Neodiprion lecontei: one gene and its partner. The protein of the gene in region 2 binds, or shares a complex with, the protein of the main gene of each other region. Links are inferred from orthologs where the notes say so. Each region holds a gene or a part of one and is shown on either strand. Other genes may lie near its edges.

Region 1 (4,401 bases), on a different chromosome or scaffold from region 2:
GAGCTGGGCGACGCCGTGTGGATAATAAGCCTGGTTATTCTATAATAACTTCGGCGAACGAAAAAGTTTCAAGGTTTCTACAGGACCCTAGCCAAAGTGAACTAAAGCTGCATCCAATGCGACAGCCTGAGCGTGAAAAACTACGAAGGCTTGCCAATTTGTACAGCTTAAGTTTGAAGGGTGATTTGAGTTGTCCAATTTTATACAAAACTCGCCATACGACCCAAGCCATTTGCGTCGATCAAGTTTCTCTGAATAGAATATCCGATTACAAAAGGCTACGAAAGACTCCACCAAATTCGCCAAATCCTGATTCGGAAATGCAGGAGAATGAGCTACCTATTTCAAGTGTGAATTTTGGTACACAAATTACAAACCAAATACAGGGTATTGGCTCTGTCGAGAGCCTGACACAAACTGTAAACTTTGGCTGGGATATACCAAGTACAGACCTGCAAATAAAACCAAAGTTTCATAGCTTTGGTCACTCCAAATCTAGCTAAATGTTATAGAGATTTTATTACGAATCTACACATATGTTCTTGCATAATGACAATTCTCTGAAAACGCCGATTTTTACAGTCATAAACCAGTTTTTGTAAGTATAATTCAAACTTAAATCAAGCTCCATCGCACCTTGATAGCATGGTTGAATATAATCAAAGGCGAAAATCAATGACATTGCGAAAAGAAATGTAGCCGATTTTATTTTTCCGTCCCCTTCTTGTGAATTCATTAAACTTCGCTATTATCTGCTGACGTTCTGTGCAGTTTTTTCCGGAATTTCGTAATTTTTCTCATTCTATCAGAAAATTCCGTTCGCTTCACCGGTATTTAGTTGTATAAAAAGAGAAACTTACAATCCTGTCTTGTGTTTGAATTATATTTTAAAACATTTGTAAGAATGCCTGTAAAGAACAGTTACATAAAGAAATATTATTTACAAGCATTTGATATACTAAGGTTTACCAGAACAACAGTTACATGTCTCATGAACTATACTTCTGTACATTTTTGTGCCTAAACCAGATCTTGATGAAACATGCCCAAGAATTCCTCGAAGATGTATATCAGTTTTTTTTGAGGTGTAAGTAGATCTCCGGTCATTTATTTTTGGAATATCACTTGAAATAATGATTATAATAATTTATAACTATAGTGTTAAGTTGTTACCTACAGTACAGTCTGGAATACTGTATATGTTAATTATTATCATCTTCTATTAGGGTTTTTGAAAACTCGTTCATGAAAGATGGGCCAATGGTGGAAGTTATGTTTAAAAACATAATATAACAATAAATACACTACTACTTCTATAAAATTCATGCGTTAGTTTATTCATATAGTAAGACGTTTTTGATATACTAATAGCATATAACATAGAACGAGGAGCACTTGTTGATAAAATTCTAAATGACCAAAAATAAATGTAGTATTATTAGCGTAATTGACCTAATTTTTTAGCTGCTGCCATTGCATTTTCATTGGCTATCATCTGAAATTCTTGAAAGCGTTGGGAGACCCTCTGATTCATCTTCATATATTTCTCCATACAATTCAGCGCACATTTCTCCTCTTTGGTTCTCACTTCTCGTGTTGTAAAATCGGTTATACAGTCAATGAAGCAGATTTCCGATAGCTTATTGTATGATGTCAAGAAGTCTCTAAACTGAAAAGTTATAAAATTATTCCAATAATAAATATGTTTTATTAAATATTTTACTATGTCAAATTTAAACGATTAATTATATCGTTACACTTCGAATTTTTACCAGACTGTAGGACAAGACGAAAGTACGTTTAAATTACTTTTGCTGAAAGTTGTAATAGATCAACATTCGTAATTTTACTTCAACGGTACAAGATATTGGTAACTCTATTATACATAATCTAGATTGGCCTTCATATGAACAAGTGTTACATAGAATGACAACTTTCTTGAACTCAATTTGGGAATACGTTCGAATATTTGGGTTACGTTAGAGTTGTTAAGGAATTATTAGTCCTTTAAAACAAGCTAGTGAATTCAAAACTTAGCAACGTGGACAAACGATAACCTAAAAATATTATGACTGCAGATGATGTCTACCGTAATAACAAATCAAAGCGTAATATAACAGATATAAGACTTGACATGGAATTCGGTTCCCATAGAGGATTTTCTTATACTTTTTGATATTCAAATTTGAGACCCTTGAGAAGTTCAGAATTGAAGTGGTCCTCACTCAGTCGCATGTATTTTGACACATAAAACGAATACTTGCCGACTTGATTTGCTCCGCATCAACTTCAGTCGGCATTTCCATTTTTAGTATTCAAGTTTTGATTGACTAGAATGTTAAGTAAGGATTCGCAAATCCAACAAGATATTTCATTAGTAGTACGTCCCAATAAAACTGTGGCAATGTTATACGTGGAAGTTGCGAATTTTACTGGTCAATAAGAAACTCCGAATTTATCTAGTCAATCTTTGGGTTTAGAATATTTCTACAGCTGATGTAAAGAGTTGGCAAATACAAATTATGTGTAAAATCGGTATTCTTGCACGTTAGGATCAGAGATGGTTCAATTTACTGCATTTCCATGTCTGAAGTTAGTTAAAAGTACTCCCCTCCAAATGTTTATTCGTATGGTATGAATCGTGGTTTGGACTGCCCCCACCCCTTATAGCATAAAAATAAATCGACTTCAGTTAGGCACTAGTTCCGGGAGTTTGTCCAATCCCGGCGGATTTAACTTACGGCAGCTCCTCATTAACTGTAAATTGCATTGAAATTCAATGTCCCGAATAGAAAACCTCTTGTTGGTAGTTTTCGGTTGTTTATCATAGCAGACTATTCGAGAATTTCAGAATTCCATGACATTTCCAGGTGTTCCAGAATTGCCTGACGAGTAGTCACACTGGCTAAGTATATGGAGCGCACGGTAACATTAGTTATTGTTGTTCTTGTTGTCTTTCCTATGAATAGTACCGTTTACTGACTTGAGTTGCGCGACGCAGAATATAGAGATCAGGTGATACAACTTCAGTCAACGTATCAGTGGTTATGCCGGTTATACCATAGAAATTAGTGATGATGCTACCTCCGCGGGAATAAGCCTTATGTAGAGTGGTGCAGCCAGTGTAGCCATGCTATAGATCGTAAAACATGTACAGCAGCGAACATAACACGGTGGTAAAAATTAGAACTATTCTAGACGACACTTTTTGGAGTTCAGCTTACGCCACAAATGCATTAGAGTTCGGTCTGCTTCCCTCCAGTCTTCCTGGACGGGACTATCAAATTAAACATGGCGCCTGCTAGGTTATTGTCGTGAGTGATAATTTATTTTCTGGTGTTAATGTGAAAATTTCACAGGTTTTCCGGGCCGATGCGGAGCGCGGCGCGTACGGGAAGGCGTCCCGGCCTCGTTCGCCCCGGTTTAAACGTAACTCTGTAATCAGAACGCCAATAAAACATATAAATTGAATTGCATAAACAGTGGGTTGTGGGTATACACACCCTGACGCGAGATCCCTCGAGTATATCCTCAGCTTTATGGGTTTCTCCTATATTTGTGACGTAGTTAGTAGTTTCTTATTGACTGTTGTTCACCCTCGCAAACAAATACTCTGGCTGATTGGTGATAATTGTATATTAAAACCCGAAAATGTCGAGGTTTTGTACAGTGTTTTCTTCAGTGGGATAAGAGCCACCATCGGCTGCTTGAAGATCACTTTGGTAAATATATGGATTTTGTTTCTCTGCCACTTTATTTCACAGGCTAATCTATAAACTTTCATATCTGTCACGTGATGACATTAACGGATGATAAGTTTTTTTTTTCGTTTATTTTATTTATTTTTTAATGCATCTCAAATATGGCAGTGAATGAACCTCGACATTAAAACAAGTCAATTAGTATGCACATCATCACACTAACCTGTATCATGCATTATTTTACAGTAATCTAATTAATTAGATTTTATGCGAAATTTTATTCACCAATTTCGACATATTTATTAACCTGAGAAATATACAGTCAATTATCAATTCAATTATATCCATGCTAGTAGTTAAAGAATATTTCATTTCATCTTTGACTATGTTTACAGAAAATCAATAAAAAAAAAAAATCAATAATACTGAATTTCCACTTCCAAACATCTTCGAACTCTAATCAAATTTATAAATAGGCCTGATTTGGCCTTTATTATCAATAGATTTAACAGGTTATTGCGTCAATATGCCTGCTGTTATTTTTTTTTTTGTTAATTTCTATTGAATAAATTATAAAAGTATTGGCTCCATTTCTATATTCGAAAAATATTAACTAAGTAATATGAAATAAGACTTTTGACTTTAATTATATTCATTTTGGTGAGATGCCGTAAAGAAATGAAACCAACATCCAATTTTT
Region 2 (3,705 bases):
TAATTGTTGTATAGCGCTGTAAGTGGTGTGGGAAAAGGTATGAAAAGTACAGACATCAGATTTATGAAATGCCATAATTACCTCCTTATTGAACAGTGCTAAATTTTTCTCAAAATCAAAGTCCTGCTCCATCGACTGATCTATGGGTGTTCCAAAGGCTTGTTCATCTTTCTCCTGCCATCTTTGTCGTTGCGAACTCCTTTTCTGGTTTTTTGTGCTTATCTCGCCTGGAAATAACAGTTCGGAATTGTAATTTTACTTAAGTATATCCCACAATCTTTTACACTACGATATATCAACTGACAAACGTTAAAATTTTACTACCGAAAGTGCAGGAAATCCTACCTAGATATATTTTTCCATTAGCAGCAGGCTCTGGGTGTGACTGCATAGAATCAAGCGGTTTCCGCGCATTAGATTGCTGTTGAATATCGGAATTAGGAAGTACCAAAGGTGGAATGCATTCAGAAACGGATCTACCAGCTCGTTTTGCAATGGGTCGCCTCACCGTGACTTTGCTCGAAGTCTGAACTTCATCACGGCAATCCTCAGCTTCCTCTGTTGAGATTATTTCTATATGAAGTATGTCCTTGGCACTATAAGGGAATAAAATTAGAATTAAATAATGTAAAAGATATTGTCGTTAACACCTAATCATCACCGATATGATCTAAAACTTACGACAGAACAACTTGCGGAGAGGGGTAAGGTACCCCGTTTCGAAAAGCCTTTGTCAAAGTGACGGTTTGGCCGTTAAGGTCGACAATTTGGCCTTGGTAAGTGCCAAGTGACTCATCGCACTTGACCGACACGGTACACCCTAGGAATTGCGTGGACATTGTATTGTTCTGAAATTGAAAAGGAAGATGAAGAGTGTTGCAGCAGTGTCTGTACGGGAAGTCAAGTAAATATCAGGTATGAAACTGTTTCAAAATGATTCAATGCTTGAAATACATTGAAAATACCATAACGGGTTTCGCAACCCCCTATGAGGAGCAAAAAACGAACTTTAGCAGACTTTGTATTCAACTGTAACCCGGTAAATGCTAATATAATATGTACGAACATCTATGCAGGGTGGATATACCTATTGATATATTATGCTTCGGACTAGAAATAGACGTTTTCGGCTTCCAAGTGCTGGAATACCCAGCCACCCTTTCGACCTGGAGAAGAAAACAATGGTTCTCTGCTTTTCTAGCGACAGGATATCCACCAATACGTAAGCAAAGTCTAGCCGCGCCGAGCTGATGTGATGTAGAGGTAGGTTAGAGCACGTTTATTACATTACCATTTATCCTCTCTTTGCATTTACCTTACGACTGAACTGCTCTACTGCACATCTTACGCGGTCCAGAGGACGCCACTCGACGGCTCGGCGCGTCGTATTTCATCGCACGGGGCACGATGCACGCCCTCCTTGCACATTCGTTGAATAGGATAGTTCGGATGAACGACATTGTCTCGCGTATCGCATACCGGGATGGGCGATCTTAGTAGAAAATAAACACCGGCATCGTGTTTGAATTCTTTATCATCGAACTAGCGATGTTCTTCTGAAAACATCGAAACATGGATTGTTAACACGTCGATGGTGAAAACAAGCGCGAATATTTTAAATGATTCTAGCTACAATGGTAAAAAGGAAAATGAACGCGAAAATTTTTAACTTTCATTATAATTAAAAATAAGTATTAAGTATGAGAATTCAATATAAATTAAATTAAGTATGCAAAAGTAAAATAATTAAATATACAGATTAATAGTGAAACATTTGGTAGAGAACACAGACTTATTATAAAACTTAGTAATGTGTGTTCCGTGTTTATAAATAAGTTACCGAGAATTGTTTGCTCACAAATTTAATTTATTCCCGACTTGACGACGTCGACAATTCAGTATTTTCCATCGACTATCGATGTATCGACGTTAAAAAACACCGATCAAAAACGTCGATGCTCCCGTAAAAAAACATCGATAGTCGAAACATCGATGTATATCCCCCATTCCTATCGCATGCGCTGCATGCATGCGCCATGCCAGCAGGGTGCTGTTTCATTCAGGGATCATCACGGATTCCGACATGGCCTTATCGAAGACGGCAAAAGTCGGCATTGGATGGTAGGTATGTAAATGGACGAATAAGTAACAGTGTAGGTACGTTGCATGCACTTTCGTAAAAGGCAGACAGAAATATGTGCCATTTGCAGAATCGCATCATATTTCATATCAAATTTTTTCAATCTTTGTATTGGATTATACAACATAACCCGTTTAGTACGCATGCATGTAAGCAGCTTTCTTTCGCGGCAGCTATCATTGGTGAACGATCATGTCATCTCCAATTTTCCTCGTGACAGACCATAAAATATAGTTTTTTTTTTCCAGGACATTCGCCGTATTTGGAGGGTTGTACGCTTTTGTCTTGTCCAAACGATCCATAGAACGGAATCGCTATGAAATGATGAAAGCGAGGGAACGTGTACGAAACTCCAACTTTGAATAGACTGACGGAAAAGTTTGTCGAGGCCTGAGCAAAGTTTAGTTTATTATATATTGTAAACATGGCTGGTCTACCGCAGCTTGACGAAGAGAAGCTCAAATTAGTCCAGGATCTAGAAATAGAGATGATGACGGACATGTACAATCGCATGACGTCTGCCTGCCATAGGAAATGCATTCCGCCAAAGTACTCTGAGGCAGAGCTCGGCAAGGGTGAATCAGTTTGCTTGGATCGATGCATCGCCAAGTACTTGGACGTCCACGAGAAAATCGGCAAGATGCTCACCCAGATGACTATGCAGGATGCGGACTCTTTACTAAAGCCGAAAGAAATAGAACAGACTAAAACGGGATGAAGTTAAATGACTTCTATATTGTTACCTAGTTAGTTGTTTAAATCCTAAGTAGTTTCCATAATAGTGTGACATATAAAATCAAAATATATTTATGATGTCAAGTCTATCTGTTTCGCTAGTTTAATTTTGAATTTTCTACAATTTCTACACCATAAGCAGGACTTTCTTCAAATTCTTCCAAGTCCGTGTACTATCATCTAGAAGAAACTATGCTTTGCTCTGCAACTTGTGTTTCTATCCGATTTAATAAATAAGAATTCAATTAATTATCCGTTACTGGATTATACTGTTAATTTGTATTTCTTTGACATTCAACTGCAATTAAACTTGATGATAAAATTAACGTGTCTGATTATGGTTTTTTAATGCTCGACATTGAAAGGTCACAACATTCTTGTTTCGTCGAGTATAATAATTTATGAGCCAAACAGGTGCAGTAACGTTTTGTGAACAGTATATTGATATATGTAACAACGTTGGGTACAGGTAGATGCATTATCCGAGGTACGGTTATCGCACGATTTGCTGTAATAAAAAATATTGTCTTTGGCGTGCAATCGCTCCTATCTTTACAGAAATCCGTGTAAAACATTCAGTCTTTCATGACGCATATTGATTAGGGTTTCACTCTGGGCAGTGTAGCTCCACGAGAGTAATAGATGCGGCAAAACAGTGAACAAGACAGTAAAAAATGTTTACCCCATAGCATAATTTTACCGTTTCATACTGACCCTGCCACTCGAATATCGTATGAAAATATTTAATACCGAGCAAATTGTCTCGGAGGAAACAAAGAATTGATTGTTGTAGCAAGAGGGCAAGTATCAGTACATACCGTGGTACGCTA

Evidence for each region.
Region 1: the proteins of mitochondrial import inner membrane translocase subunit Tim10 (region 2) and mitochondrial import inner membrane translocase subunit Tim9 are in contact, whole or in part, in a crystal structure (PDB 2BSK), measured with the Homo sapiens proteins. The link is inferred for Neodiprion lecontei from reciprocal best matches to the Homo sapiens genes TIMM10 and TIMM9. Residues at the interface, in NP_036588.1 of Homo sapiens: Glu16, Met17, Asp20, Met21, Arg24, Ala28, Cys29, Lys32, Cys50, Arg53, Cys54, Ser56, Lys57, Tyr58, Asp60, Ile61, His62, Arg64, Met65, Gly66, Lys68, Leu69, Leu72; in NP_001291414.1 of Homo sapiens: Lys15, Leu18, Gly19, Tyr21, Asn22, Lys23, Thr25, Glu26, Cys28, Phe29, Leu30, Val33, Asp35, Phe36, Thr37, Thr38, Arg39, Glu40, Val41, Glu45, Thr46, Glu50, Leu53, Leu57.

Annotation. Positions count from the first base shown.
Region 1 is NC_060265.1:19,686,264-19,690,664, forward strand, and holds mitochondrial import inner membrane translocase subunit Tim9, read right to left. Parts: upstream 2,651-4,401; 5' UTR 2,307-2,650; coding exon 2,265-2,306; intron 1,670-2,264; coding exon 1,439-1,669; 3' UTR 504-1,438; downstream 1-503. Other genes in the region: G patch domain-containing protein 2, read left to right, coding at 1-503. UniProt on the Homo sapiens protein: Mitochondrial intermembrane chaperone that participates in the import and insertion of multi-pass transmembrane proteins into the mitochondrial inner membrane.
Region 2 is NC_060266.1:25,977,832-25,981,536, reverse strand, and holds mitochondrial import inner membrane translocase subunit Tim10, read left to right. Parts: upstream 1-1,963; 5' UTR 1,964-2,121; exon of another isoform or gene 2,122-2,157; intron 2,158-2,388; 5' UTR 2,389-2,564; coding exon 2,565-2,858; 3' UTR 2,859-3,201; downstream 3,202-3,705. Other genes in the region: enhancer of mRNA-decapping protein 3, read right to left, coding at 82-227, 346-596, 682-839.